Oryctolagus cuniculus: one gene and its partner. The protein of the gene in region 2 interacts with the protein of the main gene of each other region in a pairwise test. Links are inferred from orthologs where the notes say so. Each region holds a gene or a part of one and is shown on either strand. Other genes may lie near its edges.

Region 1 (7,275 bases), on a different chromosome or scaffold from region 2:
ACCAAGACGGGGGTTTGGAAGGGCACTTGGGTGGAGTCACAGCACTCATTACACCTGCTGCGCCCCCATGCACAGCCAGAAGGAAGAGGAGGACAGACAGGAGCTCACCCTGATGGCATGGCTGTGGCAGGTCCAGGTCGAGGGCAATCACAGAAGAGACTTAGGTACCCAGCTCCTCAAGTCAGAAAGCAGAAGGCTTGGGTGGCAGAGAACCATTGCCTCCAACCGACGAAGCTGTTCTCACTGCCACGGAGAACTGCCTCCCACACAGAAGGAGCCACTGCCTGGGCAGGGCCAGGATCCGAGTGCAGAAGGAAAGTGGACAGGATGGTAAAACTGTGTACACACATGTGTGTATGAGCACATACGGGTATACAGTGTGGACCTACATGTGCGCGCTGTGACATGTGTATGTGGCTGTATGTGTGTGTCTTGCACAGGCGTGTGCTGCATGTGTATGTGTGTGCAGTGTGCAGGCATATGTATGCATGTGTAACACGAATATGCACCTGTGAGTATACAAGGGGTATTCAAGTGGTGCGTTATCTTTTAATTCCATTTTCCACAATTTTTTGTTTTTCTAAAGATTTATTTATTTATTTTGAAAGTCAGGGTTACAGAGAGAGAGAGGAGAGACAGAGATCTTCCATCTGCTGGTTCACTCCCGAGATGGCTGCGACAGCCAGGGCTGAGCCAGACCAAAGCCAGGAGCCAGGAACTTCTTCCAGGTCTCCCATGTGGGTGCAGGGGCCCAGGCACTCGGGCCATCCTCCACTGCTTTCCCAGACCATTAGCAGGGAGCTGGATCAGAAGTGGAGCAGCCAGACTTGAAACAGCGTCGATGTGGGATGCCGGTGTCACAGGCGGTGGTGGCTTTACCCGCTGTGCCACAAACTGTTTGAAGTTCCCTTCCACATATATTTCTAAAGCAATGAGATTTTCAACTCCACTCATAAAAAAAAAAAAAAAAAAGCACAAATTAAAGTCAGACAGCAGTGGTCTGACAGTGGCCTGAGGACCAAGGCTGTTGGCAAGGGGCAGCAGACCTGGAGGGGACGGCCCCATCAGGCCCTGGAAGGAACCCTACCCCAGGGCCAGGGGTTCACCAGCTGGCCCTGAGTAGGAGGAGGAGGGAGCTCTGCAGGGCACAGGTGCAGTGAGTCCTGGACGAGCCCGGCAGCGGGGGGGGGGGGGGGGGGTACAGGACAGTCGTGGTCCCAGAGGAAGGAGGTTAGGAGCAACTTGAGCACCAAAATACCAGAATTTAAAGAAGAAAAAAAAAAAGCCAAGCCGGGGGAGGAGGAAGCGGTCTGCCGGGCTGGCGTCCGGGGCTGGGGGTGGGGGTGGGCGCCAGCCCAGGGGGCGCCGTCAGCACTTTGCACGCCTTCCGGGAACACACTCATTGTTTCCGTCCCTCCGGGGCCCATGTCCCATGTGTCAGCGCTGCCAGCCCCACCCACAACCCTGCCTCAACCCAGCTGCTGAGCTGCAGCTCCTCAGTGGCCCTGGTGTGGCCAGCCTGGACATGGGGGAGCGAGCCTCCGGGCTGAGCCACAGCGGGGGGGACCCAGAGCATGAGCCCCCAGCCCAGCCTGAGCCCTGCCTTGAGGTGTTTGGACAGGGACACTGTCCCACCACACCCTCTGCCCACTCCTTCCTGGGCATCGCAGGTGGGCAGGGACTGGACACAGGCAGGGGGCCCGTGCCCAGCACTGCTGGATGGAGTGGGAGCCCTGGCTGGGATCCTGACACAGTACCCAGGGTCGGCAAGTCACTCAGTCCATACCAGGGCAGAGAGAACCATTGATCAGGCCACGTGGAATCAGTGTGCAGTATAGACAGAACCCCCTTGTCTGCAGGAAGTTAGAGGTGCAGTGTAGACAGACCCCTCCTTGTCTGCAGGGAGTTAGAGGTGCAGTGTAGACAGAACCCCCTTGTCTGCAGGAAGTCAGTGTGCAGTGTAGACAGAACCCCCTTGTCTATAGGGAGTCAGTGTGCAGTGTAGACAGACCCCCCTTGTCTGCAGGGAGTTAGTGTGCAGTGTAGACAGACCCCTCCTTGTCTGCAGAGAGTCAGTGTGCAGTGCAGACAGAACCCCCTTTGTCTACAGGGAGTCAGTGTGCAGTGTAGACAGACCCCTCCTTGTCTATAGGGAGTCAGTGTGCAGTGTGGACAGAACCCCCTTGTCTATAGGGAATCAGTGTGCAGTGTAGACAGACCCCTCCTTGTCTGCAGGGAGTTAGAGGTGTAGTGTAGACAGACCACCCTTGTCTTCAGGGAGTTAGAGATGCAGTGTAGACAGACCCCCCCTTGTCTGCAGGGAGTTAGAGGTGCAGTGTAGACAGACCCCCCTTGTCTGCAGAGGTGCAGTGTAGACAGAACCCCTTGTCTGCAGAGAGTCAGTGTGCAGTGTAGACAGACCCCTCCTTGTCTGCAGGGAGTCAGTGTACAGTGCAGACAGAACCCCCTTTGTCTACAGGGAGTCAGTGTGCAGTGTAGACAGAACCCCTTTGTCTACAGGGAGTCAGTGTGCAGTGTGGACAGAACCCCTTGTCTGTTGGGAGTTAGAGGTGCAGTGTAGACAGACCCCCTTGTCTACAGAGAGTCAGTGTGCAGTATAGACAGAACCCCTCCTTGTCTACAGGGAGTCAGTGTGCAGTGTAGACAGAACCCCTTGTCTGCAGGGAGTTAGAGGTGCAGTGTAGACAACCCCTTGTCTACAGGGAGTTAGAGGTGCAGTGTAGACAGAACCACCCTTGTCTGCAGGGAGCCAGTGTGCAGTGTAGATATACACCCCCAGCCCATGGTGTCTAGGCGGACTCGAGCCTGGGAGAAGTAGGGATTGGAGGGTCCACTGCAGGCCCCTCTGGCCTCCCCGACTGGCTCTCACACAGTCGCTCTGCCCCTGTGGTGCACCCCGATGCTTCCCCACAGCCTCTGTCCTTGGGCAGCCCCCTCAGCCCGTGTCAAGCCAGCTTCTCTAGCAACACACTGGCTGGGGAGGGGAAATTTGGTGGGGGTCCAAGGCCCTCCCCATTTGGTGGAAAGAAACACCCACCTGGACTCTCACCTGTTTATTCAGCATTTGTGAGCCAGGGTGTGAGAAAGAAGACTCGCCGCAGCCATCCCCGGGCCCGGGCTCTCTGAGGTCCCAACGCCCGCTCAGGCAGCCTCAGAAGGAAGCCGGCCATCACCCAGGGTCAGCTGGTCCCCAGCCCGGCCACCCCCACGGCTGCCATGAGAGCCGCCCCAGCCCTGCCAGAGCTCCCTCCCCCTCTCCCAGGGTTCTGTCCATGCTGGGGTGACCCCGGCCTCCCACAGCCTGCGTCGGCCATCAGGAGGACTGGCAGGTCCCGGAAGGCTTGTCCGTGCAGCTGGGCGGCTGGCGGCCGGGGGGAATGTTCTCCAGGACTTCGTCCAGCGAGAACAAGCAGAAGGAGAGCTCCTCGTAAGAGGCCCTGGCCCCACTCTCGAACAGGCAGGCGAAGGCCGGGGCTCCCGCAAGGACAGGCCCGAGGGACGCCAGGTCCGAGTAGCCGCTAGGGCCCTCGTAGATCACCCAGGGCACCGTCCAACTGCGGGGGTCCAGGGGGGTGCGGCTCAGGCGGACCCCCATGTGGAGCCGAGCCCTGCGCCCCGTGGGGTGTGAGTACAGCAGCCAGGCAGGCCTCTGAGGGGACACCGCAGAGGCTGCAGGGAGCCCCCCAGGCCCCACCGCTGGGCCAGATTGTCCCAGCCCAGCACTCCGGGCCTGCGGGAGGCAGGAGGGCCCGCAGGGCACCTGGGGTTCACAGGGGCCTCCAGCACCAGCCTCTGGGGCTTCCTGGAATCCAGGACAGAGGTGCACACAGTGAGGGAGGCTCCTGGTGCCTGTGGACGCTCCGTCACCCTGGGGTCTGCTGGGGGGTGGGGCTGGGAAGCCCACGATGCTGCCCTGGCAGCCCCGGGCCGTCTCGGCAAGGGCAGGCACCAGCTCCCCAGCCAGGAAGGAGCTGCCCCCGTCGGTGCTCAGGGCCTGCACACGGCTGCCCAGGGGGCTCCGGGCATTGCAGTAGAGGAGGCTGTCCCCCAGTGCGGCCAGCTGGCACTCGCCCGAGCGCAGGTTGGGCACGAGGCCCCCGTGGCGCCAGGTGCTGCCGTGGTCGTCACTGTAAAAGGCGAAGGAGTGGGGGCTGGTCCGGCAGATCTTCCCAAAGCACTCGCGACGGTCCACATGGTAGGTGTAGGCAGGCACCAGCAGGCGGCCTGAGTGCAGCTGGACACCATGGCCTGGGCCCACTGCGAAGGTGGCCCAGTCTACAGAGGGCAGAGGTGGAGGTGGGGGTGGAGATGGGGGCACAGGAGGGCAGCGAGGGCACATGCCTGGGATTAGGGCAGCGGGCAGGCAGGCCGCCCCTCCACACTCCACTCTGAGGCCTTCCTGGCTGGACAAGCCTCCCATGGGCATTGCAGGAGCCCAGGAGCCCACTGAGCCAGGCTCTTGCCAGCCCAGAATCAGGGTACCTGGTATGAGTGATGCCCAGATGGACGGAGCAGCAGAGGGCGGAGCCTCAGAGGGGAGGTGCTACAGCCCTCCAAAGTGTCAGAGCTCTGGGGGAGGGGGCAGCAGCAGGGGAGGGAAGCCTGGGGCTTGGGCCAGGCCTGGGCAGGAGTGCTGGGTTTGGGGGAGGGGATGACCTCTACAGATAAAGACCTGAGAGCCTGTGGTTCAGCTGTGGCCGCTGCTCCTGCCCTGCCCCAGGCGGCCAGAGGGTGAGGAAGGGATGCTAATGTTGGCTGGGACTGAGAAGCCCGGGGGTGATGGACAGTGCCAGAAAAGGGTGGACTGGTAGGGCCTCCCACACATGTGGACTGAGGGACCCCCGCTGCCTACCCTGCACAGCGTCGCCAATGGCCTCCTCGGTGAGGTCCCGGGCGCTGCTCCAGGTGAAACCGGCGTCGCGGCTGGTCACACAGCAGAGGCGGGCGGCGTTCCTGCCTGTAGTAATCTGAACGGCCTCGGACGTGTGGCCCAGCACGGCAATGAAGAAGAGGAAGATGGTGCCGGTGCTGGTGTCGTGCACGGGGCAGGGGTTCATGGAGCGGTGGCCTTGCAGGGCTGCAGCATCCAGCACACACAGGGCACCCCACTGCAGATGGGGGGGGCTGTGCTCAGGACTCCCAGACCAAGGCACCCTGCCAGCCACCCTCAGTCTCCCTGCATGCTGCCCTCTCCTGGAGCCCCTGCCCACCCTATCGCTCACCCGCACAGAGCCCCTGGCCAGCGTGCCCCTCCTCAGCACCAGGCGGTGGGCATGGGAGTCATCCGGGCTGAGCCGCTGCTCCGCGAAGGCCAGCAGGGTGGGCCCAGGGGGCACGGGGAGCAGTGCAGGCACGCGGTAGGTCAGGCCGGTCCGCTCCCGCTGGAACAGCACGGTCCGGGTGGGGACACGAGGGGGCTCCATGCTCTGCTGATCACAGCAGGCTGCAGGGAGCTGCATTGAGGATGGGGCACGACAGGTACAGCCATCCCCCATCCCGGCCAGCACCCAGGCCCCTCCCTGTGCGTGCCTCGGGGACAGCCCTGTCTGCAGTTCCTTCACCCCAGGGAAGCCACTCCCCACACTGACTTTTCCCCTAGTGCTTGTGGAGCCAGCCCCTCCTGTCAGCACACGGAGACACACACAGGGACACACATGGACAGACAGACACACACACAGGGACAGACAGACACACACAGGGACATACAGAGACACATGAGGACACATGAACACACAGCAACACACAGGGACACACACAGACATGCAGGGACACACAGGGACACACACATGGACACACAGAGACATAGACAGACACACAGGGACACATGAACACACAGCAACACACAGGGACACACAGAGGGACACACACAGACATGCAGGGACACACACGGAGACACACACACACAGACACACATGGGCAGACACACACAGACACACAGGGACACATGAACACACAGGGACACATGGATACGCAGGGACACATGAACACACAGGAACACGCACACAGACACACAGGGACACACAGCAACACACAGGGACACACAGACACAGAGGGGCACACACAAACATTCAGGGACACACATGGAGACACACACAGATGGACACATAGGGACACACAGGAGCAGACATACAAAGACACACACAGACACACAGGGACACATGAACACACAGGGACACACAGACAGAGGGACACACACAGAGACACACAGGGACACACAGAGGGACACATACAGGCATGCAGGGACACATGAACACACAGGGACACACACAGACACACAAGGACACACTGGGAACCTTTGGCCAACCCAAAGTAGGGGGAGGGGTGGGGTGGGAATGGACCCCAAGTGGCTCCCAGGTGTGCCCTGAGTCCCAGGGGTGCGCATGCCAGACTCCTAGAGGGACCCCGAGGGCCACAGGGCCACAACCACTCCCCACCGAGCCCTCCCAGCGAGAGGAGCCACACGGCTGGTGAGTGTGGACTGCAGCTGGAGACAGCAGCAATGGAAGGGAGATGAGAGGCCCCCAGGAGCCAGGGCACATGCAGGACAGAAGCTGGGGCTGGAGGCCAGGTGGGCTTCCTGGAGGTGGGGGGGGGGGGAGGAGTATGGCAGAAGCTGCACATCACTCAAGGTCGGGAGAGCAGGTGTGGGAAAAGCCCTCCCTCCCACGGCCACCCTCAACCCTGTCCCTCAGCCACTTCCCAAACCTGGTGTTCAGTACAGCACCAGCAGGGCTCCTTCAGGGGACACGTGTGACCCCCCTCTTCTAGCAGCTGCTCCCTGACCTTGCATACCCACCTGCAGGGCCCTTACCTGGGCACCTGAGCAGCACAGGAAACGGACACCCCCTGCCCAGCACGGGCCCAAGACAGCCTCAGCCCTGTGAGTGGGCCCCAAGTGAGCCCCCAGCACAGAGCAGTGCCAGGTGGAGGCGTCTGGGGCGAGGTCAGCTTGCCAAGGCCACCCCGCCAGCCTGCTCAGCTCAGCCAGCCCAGCAGGTGCAGGGCCCTATCTGGTTTACAGAGGCGGATCCAGGCCGTGAGAGGGTGCCCAGTCCGGCACATAGAGGGGGAAAGATGCCACAGACGAGGAGGACCAGAGCAGTCGGGCCCACAGCCAGCCACCCCGGCCAGGCCACAGCCAGGCCATACACAGAGAGAAACAGGAGGAGGCAGCAGAACCCCACAGAGCCACTGAAGCACATGGAGACAGCTGGGCCCCGTGTGCTGCAGCGTGGTGTGAAGGGATGGACACTC
Region 2 (7,828 bases):
GATTGGAAGTGGAGCAGCCAGGACTTGAAGCAGCACCCATATGGGATACTGGCCCTGGAGGCAGTGGATTAACCCCTTGTGCCACAATGCTGGTCCCTAGAATCATCTTGCTTTGGAAAATTGAAACTTACCATGTCAATACATTTTTTGTTACTTACTTTCTTCCATATTTTCTTAATTGATAAAAGATTAAATTCCATGTATAACTTACGTAACTCAAAAAATGGTAAATTGTTTAGTAGTTCTTAGAGTCTTTTTATATTTAATTAATTAATTTGAAAGAACTTATAAAGAGATTTAGATTATGGGTAGCTATGAAAAACAGAATGAGAGAGGTGGGTCTTCTCCTTAAAGAATATGCTTATATGCTTATACACAATCTGGCAAATTTGTTTCAAGAAATGTAAAGACACTCTCTGCTGTCTCCATTCATCCATGAACTCCAGTTAAAGATGTTCTGCTTGGTTTAATTTTGAATTTTTATTCTTGCCTCATCTTGGCTTATTCTTTGTTATCATTTCTGTTCTCCTGGCTGTCCAAGAGATTTTTTTTCCCCAAGAGATTTGAATCGACTAATCTCTCAATATATTTTGTAATGAGCAAGATTTGAGGTATTTAGAACTGCTGTTGATTTACATAAGATAACCCAGCATCAAATTAAGGTCATGATTGTTTTCTTTAGTTGATACAAGTGTATGTTTCAAACTTATTTTTTTCTTCATGTTGAAATAGTATCACTAGATAGATTATCTGACTTCTCATTTTTTATGTTCCTCTTCCAGCAATCAGCAGAGCGCTGTGTCAGCACGTTGCTTGATCTAATCCAGACCAAAGTAAATTATGTGGTCCAAGAGGCGATTGTTGTCATCAGGGACATCTTCCGCAAATACCCTAACAAGTACGTCCAAGTGCTGCTATCTCCTTTTCTAAAATCAGTTAGGAAATGTTTAAGTAAAGTGCTTTGTAATTGGCTGGTAAGAAGTACTCTCTTTTTTTTTTTTTTTTTTTGACAGGCAAAGTGGACAGTGAGAGAGAGAGAAACAGAGAGAAAGGTCTTCCTTTGCCGTTGGTTCACCCTCCAATGGCCGCTGCGGCCGGCGCGCTGCGGCCGGCGTACCACGCTGAACCGATGGCAAGAGCCAGGTACTTATCCTGGTCTCCCATGGGGTACAGGGCCCAAGCACTTGGGCCATCCTCCACTGCACTCCCTGGCCACAGCAGAGAGCTGGCCTGGAAAAGGGGCAACCGGGACAGAATCTGGTGCCCCAACCGGGACTAGAACCCAGTGTGCCGGCGCCGCAAGGTGGAGGATTAGCCTAGTGAGCCGCGGCGCCGGCCGAGAAGTACTCTTTTTAACTAAAGTTTGAATTTTCACTCTGCTTTATTACTTTAAAAGAAATGAAAACCTGCCTGAATATACATGATAAATTAATATATTTTATGGTTAACATAACCAGATTCTTTGTTTTTAAAAAAAAGCATTTTGTGACCGGCGCCATGGCTCACTTGACTAATCATCTGCCTGTGGCGCCGGCACCCCGGGTTCTCGTCCCGGTTGGGGCACCGGGTACTAGTCCTGGTTGCTCCTCTTCCAGTCCAGCTCTCTGCTGTGGCCCAGGAGGGCAGTGGAGGATGGCCCAGGTGCTTGGGTCCCTGCACCTGCATGGGAGACCGGGAGGAAGCACCTGGCACCTGGCTCCTGGCGCAGCACCGGCCGTGGTGGCCATTAGGGGAGTGAACCAATGGAAGGAGGACCTTTCTCTCTGTCTCTCTCACTGTCTCTAACTCTACCTATCAAATAAAAATTTAAAAACATTTTGTTTGTACTGTATTTTTATATTATTTTTTAGTTTTTTAAAAATTTATTTGAAAGGCAGAGAGAGATCCCCCATCCGCTAGTTCACTCACAAATGCCCAGAACAGCTAGGGTTGGACCAGCCCAGAAGCCTGGATCTCAATCCAGGTCTCCCACATGGGTGGCAGGGACTCAATTACTTGAGCCGTCATTCACTGCCTACCAGATGCACATTAGCAGGAAGCTGGAATTGGGAGTAGAACTGGCAGTTGAACCTGCACACTCCAATATGGAATTTAGACATCCCAAATACCAGCTTAATGGCTGCACCAAATGCATAGACCCCAACCAGAATCTTTGATGGTGAAGTTGCCGTTAACGAGAATACCTAGGGGTGGCTATCGAGGCATAGCTGTTAAGCTGCCCCATGGGAAGCAACATCCCATATCAGAGTGCCTGGAATTGAGTCCTGCCTCCACTACCAATTCCAGCATTCTGCCATTGTGCACCCCGGGAGGCAGCAAGTGATGGCTCAAGTACTTATGTCCCTGACACCCATGTGAGAGACCTGGATAAAGCTTCTGGCTCCTGGCTTTGACTTGGCCCAGTCTTGGCTGTTGCAGGTATTTAGAGAGTGAAACAGCAGATAGAAGATCTCTCTGTCTGTAGCTGTGCCTTTCAAATGAAGTTAATTAGTTAATTAATTAAAAATAGGCCAAATCAGTTTGCTGGGAATGCAGTCTAGGTCTCCCACATGGATGTCAGGGACTCAGCTGAACTGTCACCTGACACTTTGCAGGGTGTGCGGCAGCAGGAAGCTGGAATCTGGAGTAGAGCTGAAGCTCAAACCCAGGGCACTCTGATATGGGATGTTAGTGTCCTAGGTTAGATGATGAAAGCAAGCAATTGAAGAATCTGAAACAGTGAAATAACAATGAAATCTCATTTTGCTTTTACAGTAATAGAGATAGCTTTGCTGAAGCTCCTGATTAGTCTTAAAGATAATGTAGTAAGTTGGCTTGGTGGTATGCTCAAGAATTAGTGGAAGGGCAGGCTCTGTGGTATAGCCGTAAGAATGCTGCCCCCAGTGCTGGCATCCCATATGGGTGCTGGTTTGAGTCCTGGCTGCTCCACTTCCAATCCTGCTCCCTGCTATGGCCTAGGAAAGCAGTAGAAGATGACCCAAGTCCTTCAGCCCCTGCACCTGCATGGGAGACCCAGAGGAGGCTCCTGGCTCCTGGCTTCAGATTGGCCTAGCTCTGACCATTGTGGCCATTTGGGGAGTAAACCAGTGGATAGAAGACCCATCTCTTTCTATCTCTCTTTCTCTCTCTCTGCCTCTGTCTCTTTGTAACTCTGCCTTTCAAAATAATTAATAAATCTTTTAAAAAAAGAATTAGTAAAAATATTTTGGCAAAGTAATGGTGTATTAAGCATTGTATATATTTCTAAAAATTTTAGAAATGGTGTTTTTGAAGAAGAGACCATATATTTTTGCCATTCTCCCAGAAAAGAGAAGGATTTTTTTTTTTTTTTTTTTTAAGATTTTGTTTATTTGAAAGGTAGAATAATAGACAGAGGGAAAGACAGAGAGAAAGGTCCTCCATCCGCTGGCTCATCCCCAAATGGCTGTAGCAACCGGCGCTGGGATCATCTAAAGACAGGAGCTAGGAGCCTACTCCAGGTCTTCCACGCCAGCACAGGGACCCAAGCACCTAGGCCATCCTCCACTGCCTTCCCAGGCCACAGCAGAGAGCCAGATTGAAAGAGGAGCAGCCAACACATGAACTGGCACCCATGTGGGATGTTGGCACTGCAGGCAGAGGCCCAGTCCACTGAGCCACAGCACTGGCCCCCTGAGGATTGGGTTTTTCAATTTCTTAATTAAGTATGATGCTGTATTAGTTACATAGTATGAAATAAGAAGACAAATGCATTTTGTTTTTGTTATTAAGGGGTCATGACAGTTCTAAGAAAGCAATCAGGAGTCTGGTTTAATCAGTGGAAGTAGGGCAGACAAGTGTACTATTCAGTTGTTTGCTTCTAATTTATTATATGTATCATTCTGATGTTTACAATCATGTTAGCCAGATAGATGGTTTTAACATGTCTATAAAAATAATAATAAATTTTTGAGTTATTTCTTCCTTTGGAGAAATATTTTTGTTTGTGCTTCGAGAAGAAAGAACATAACCATACCTGTTATAAAAAGGAGAGATAAGGGGCATTGTGGCATAGGAGGTTTAGGCAATGCTAGCATCCCCTGTGGGTGTCAATTCATGTACTGGCTGCTCAATTTCTGATCCAGCTCCCTGCTAACTGCTTGGAAAAGTAGCAAAAGATTGCCGAAGTGGTTGGGCCCCTGTACCCCTGTGGGAGACCTGGAAGAAGCTCCTGGGCTTCATCCTGGTCCAGATCTGGCTGTTGTGGCCAATTGGAAGATCTGTCTCTCCCTCTCTCTCTGCAACTCTGCCTTTCAAATAAATAATTTTTTAAAGGAGAGGTAAGTGGATTAAGGGACAAAATTATCTGAAAATTGTTGTTTTCTAACTCCATTTTTCTAAAAGTAAAGATTTCTCTTCCTCTCTAGAATGAAGTCAAATGGAATAATAGGAAAATTCTCGATCTAGTTGTAAGAAAGATTACTAGAATACCAAGTAGTTGTAGTATCTTAACAACCACAGGTTTATTTTCCCTTGAGAAATAATACCTGATGAGTTTTAATAAAAGTTTATGAGTTAAGTCTTAAAGCATAATTGAACAGCTGGCATTGTGGTATAACAGGTTAAGCCACTGCCTGCTATACTGACATCCCATTTGGGTGCCAGTTTGAGTACCGGCTGCTCCACTTCTGATCCAACTCCCTGCTAATATGCCTGGGGAAGCAGCAGAAGATGTCTCAAGTGCTTGGGTCCCCACACTCATGTGGGAGACCTGGATGAAGCTCCTCACTCCTGGTTTCAGCCTGGCCCAACCCTGGCTGTTAGAGCCATTTGGGGAGCAAACCAGCAGAAAATCAATCAATCAATCTCTCTCTCTCTCTCTCTCTCTCTCTCTATCTGTAATTCTGCCTTTCAAATATAATAAAATAAATCTTTTAAAAAAATTGAAAGCTAATTATAATCTTCTGACTTAATACTTATATATTTTCTTAACTATAAAAGCTTTTCTAGTTTGGTGGCTTGTTTTAGGATCCCTTGTTCATGGTTTGCTTTTAACTTTAACTCTGAAATGTGTTCTTTGTTTTGTCCTCAGTAACCATAGTCTCTTGTTGCTTCAGGTATGAAAGTATCATCGCCACTCTGTGTGAGAACTTAGACTCCCTGGATGAACCAGATGCTCGAGCGGCTATGATCTGGATTGTAGGAGAATATGCTGAGAGAATTGACAATGCAGATGAGTTACTGGAGAGCTTCCTGGAGGGTTTTCATGATGAGAGCACCCAGGTAAACTTTCAGCCATCCTGTGTCCTGTGTCTGTGGGAAGACTTCAGAAAAAGTAAAGATTTGAGTGTGTATGTATTTATGTATATGCTCAGGTTGAGCATCCTGTACCCCAAATGCTTAGAACCAAGAAATATTTCATATTTTGAGTTTTTTCAAACTTTGAAGTATTTCCATGTACATAATGAGATAAATATCTTGGGGATGAAATCCAAGTCTAAACAGAAAATTCATTTATGTCTCATATACCTTATACACATAGCCTAAAGGTATTTTTATAGAATGTTTTTAGCATGCATGCATTTTGACTGCAACCCATCACTTTTTTTTTTGACAGGCAGAGTGGACAGTAGAGAGAGAGACAGAGAGAAAGGTCTTCCTTTTGCTGTTGGTTCACCCTCCAATGGCCGCCGCGGCCGGCACGCTGCGGCCAGCACACCACGCTGATCCGAAGGCAGGAGCCAGGTGCTCCTCCTGGTCTCCCATGGGGTGCAGGGCCCAAGCACTTGGGCCATCCTCCACTGCCTTCCCAGAGAGCTGGCCTGGAAGAGGGGCAACCGGGACAGAATCTGGCGCCCCGACCAAGACTAGAACCTGGTGTGCCGGCGCCGCTAGGTGGAGGATTAGCCTATTGAGCCGCGGCGCCGGCCCTGCAACCCATCACTTTAAGTTGGGTGTGGAATTTTCCACTTGTGTTGTCATGTCTGTGCTTTAAAAGTTTTGGATTTTGGAGCATTTCAGATTTTTGATTTTCAGATTAGGGTTTCTCCACCTGTAGCATGTTGATTTTTCATCCAAAAGGGATGACCCTTTTCATTTGTATACTGATTTCTAGTGTAATAAATTTAGACCAGTGGTTCTGAAACTTTAATGAGGATTAGAAGCACCTGGAGGCTTTTTAAAGCCTCTGGACCTCTGGTCTCCACCATGTCTGACTCAGTAGGTCTGAGATAGATCCAAGTACTTGTATAATTAAAAGGTCCTGGTCCAAAACCTCACTTTGAGAACCACTGGTTTACAGCCTAAGTCACCAGTTTTTATTTCCTATAGACTAAGAACGATCATACATTTCTATTAGTAGTGGTTTGGCTCAATACAGCAGGGATTTTCACCTCCAACTGCAGGGAGAGGGAGAGGGAAAGGAAGAGGGAGAGGATAGACTCCTTCCTGTCGCCCATCACTCTCCCCTACCACAGTTAAAGCTACAAGGCTAGAGAAGCAGACACATCAGTAAGCTCCTTGGTATTTGTACTCACAGCAAATAGAAGTTCATGTGTATACCCCACCATAGTGATTTTAAGAGACATAATACAAGAAATGTGTATACAAGCCAGTAATTTTGTGACTCAGTAGCTGTGATCTGACATAATTCTACTGCCTTGGATGTTGCTCCAGTATGACAGATGATTCCATAATTGTCTCAAAATTGTAGCTTTTCATAGCACTAAATAATAAAAGACTTGGTCAGGAGCTAGTTTTATAGCCATCAGTATTTTAGCATGTATTATTTTAAAAGATATTTTTATTTGAAAGGCAAAGTGAAAGAGATCTTCCACTCACTGGTTCACTCCACAAATGGCTACAACAGCTGGAGCTGGACCAGGACAAAGTAAAGAGCCAAGAACTCCATCCATGTCTCCCACATGGATGGCAAGGACTTAAATACTTAAGCCATCATCCAGTGCCTTCCCAGGCACATTAACAGGGAACTGGATCAGAAGTGAAATAGTTGGCGATTTGAACCGGCCCTCTTATGTGGGATGTGAGCATCCCCAGTGGCTGCTTAACCTACAATGCCCACCTCCAGTTATTTTAAAAAGTACATGTGATTATCTGGCTGAGAAATGAATAAGGAATTTTTGCTGTGCAAAATGTAATTTCAGGATAGAAGGCTAGTGAGTTTTCAGTTGAATACCCTTGTTTTTGAAATGAATATCTTTGACTGTTATTGTTGAATTAGCTGAGTTTCAACTTTTGTTTCTTAACCAAAATTAGAAAGGACTTATATTGGTTCATAATTGATAAGATACCACTTTGGAAATGATGACAGGAAATACAAATGTCTTCTGCTTTATCAAATTTTCTCTATTTAGGTGCAGCTTACTCTGCTTACTGCCATAGTGAAGCTGTTTCTTAAGAAACCATCAGAAACACAAGAGTTGGTCCAGCAGGTTTTGAGTTTGGCAACACAGGTAAGAAATCTGGAAAAAACATGGATTGATATGTATTATTTGAAATTATAGAAAATTATTATACTTGAAGATTCACATGGGGACATTTTGTTTATTTGAGAGAGAGAGAGACTGTTCCCATCCACTGGTTTACTTCCCAAATCCCTGGAGCAGGTCTCTCACATGGGTGGTAAGCACTCTTACCAAAGTCAACGCTGAGCAATCCACTGCAGCCTCCCAGGGTATGCATTAGCAGGAAGCTGGGTTTTGAAATCTGCACTGAAACTTCAACTTAGGCACTCAGACATGGGGTGCACGCATCCCTAGCCAGCACCTTAATGGCCACACTAGATAGCCATTTCCATTTGAGGAAGTTATAATTGAAAGAGATGTAAGATTTATTTATTTACTTATTTTTT

What was found. The genes of interacting proteins can lie anywhere in the genome.
Region 1: the proteins of AP2B1 (region 2) and NEU4 interact in binary tests that used the Homo sapiens proteins (3 or more experiments, as listed by UniProt). The two-hybrid records come from large-scale screens. The link is inferred for Oryctolagus cuniculus from reciprocal best matches to the Homo sapiens genes AP2B1 and NEU4.

The regions. Positions count from the first base shown.
Region 1 is NC_091434.1:76,826-84,100, forward strand, and holds the end of NEU4 (sialidase-4), read right to left. Parts: intron 7,255-7,275; exon of another isoform or gene 6,833-7,254; intron 5,465-6,832; 5' UTR 5,445-5,464; coding exon 5,244-5,444; intron 5,130-5,243; coding exon 4,874-5,129; intron 4,297-4,873; coding exon 3,335-4,296; 3' UTR 3,064-3,334; downstream 1-3,063. UniProt on the Homo sapiens protein: Exo-alpha-sialidase that catalyzes the hydrolytic cleavage of the terminal sialic acid (N-acetylneuraminic acid, Neu5Ac) of a glycan moiety in the catabolism of glycolipids, glycoproteins and oligosacharides.
Region 2 is NC_091448.1:38,973,458-38,981,285, reverse strand, and holds part of AP2B1 (AP-2 complex subunit beta), read left to right. Parts: intron 1-782; coding exon 783-898; intron 899-5,075; coding exon 5,076-5,241; intron 5,242-7,331; coding exon 7,332-7,430; intron 7,431-7,828. UniProt on the Homo sapiens protein: Component of the adaptor protein complex 2 (AP-2). Adaptor protein complexes function in protein transport via transport vesicles in different membrane traffic pathways.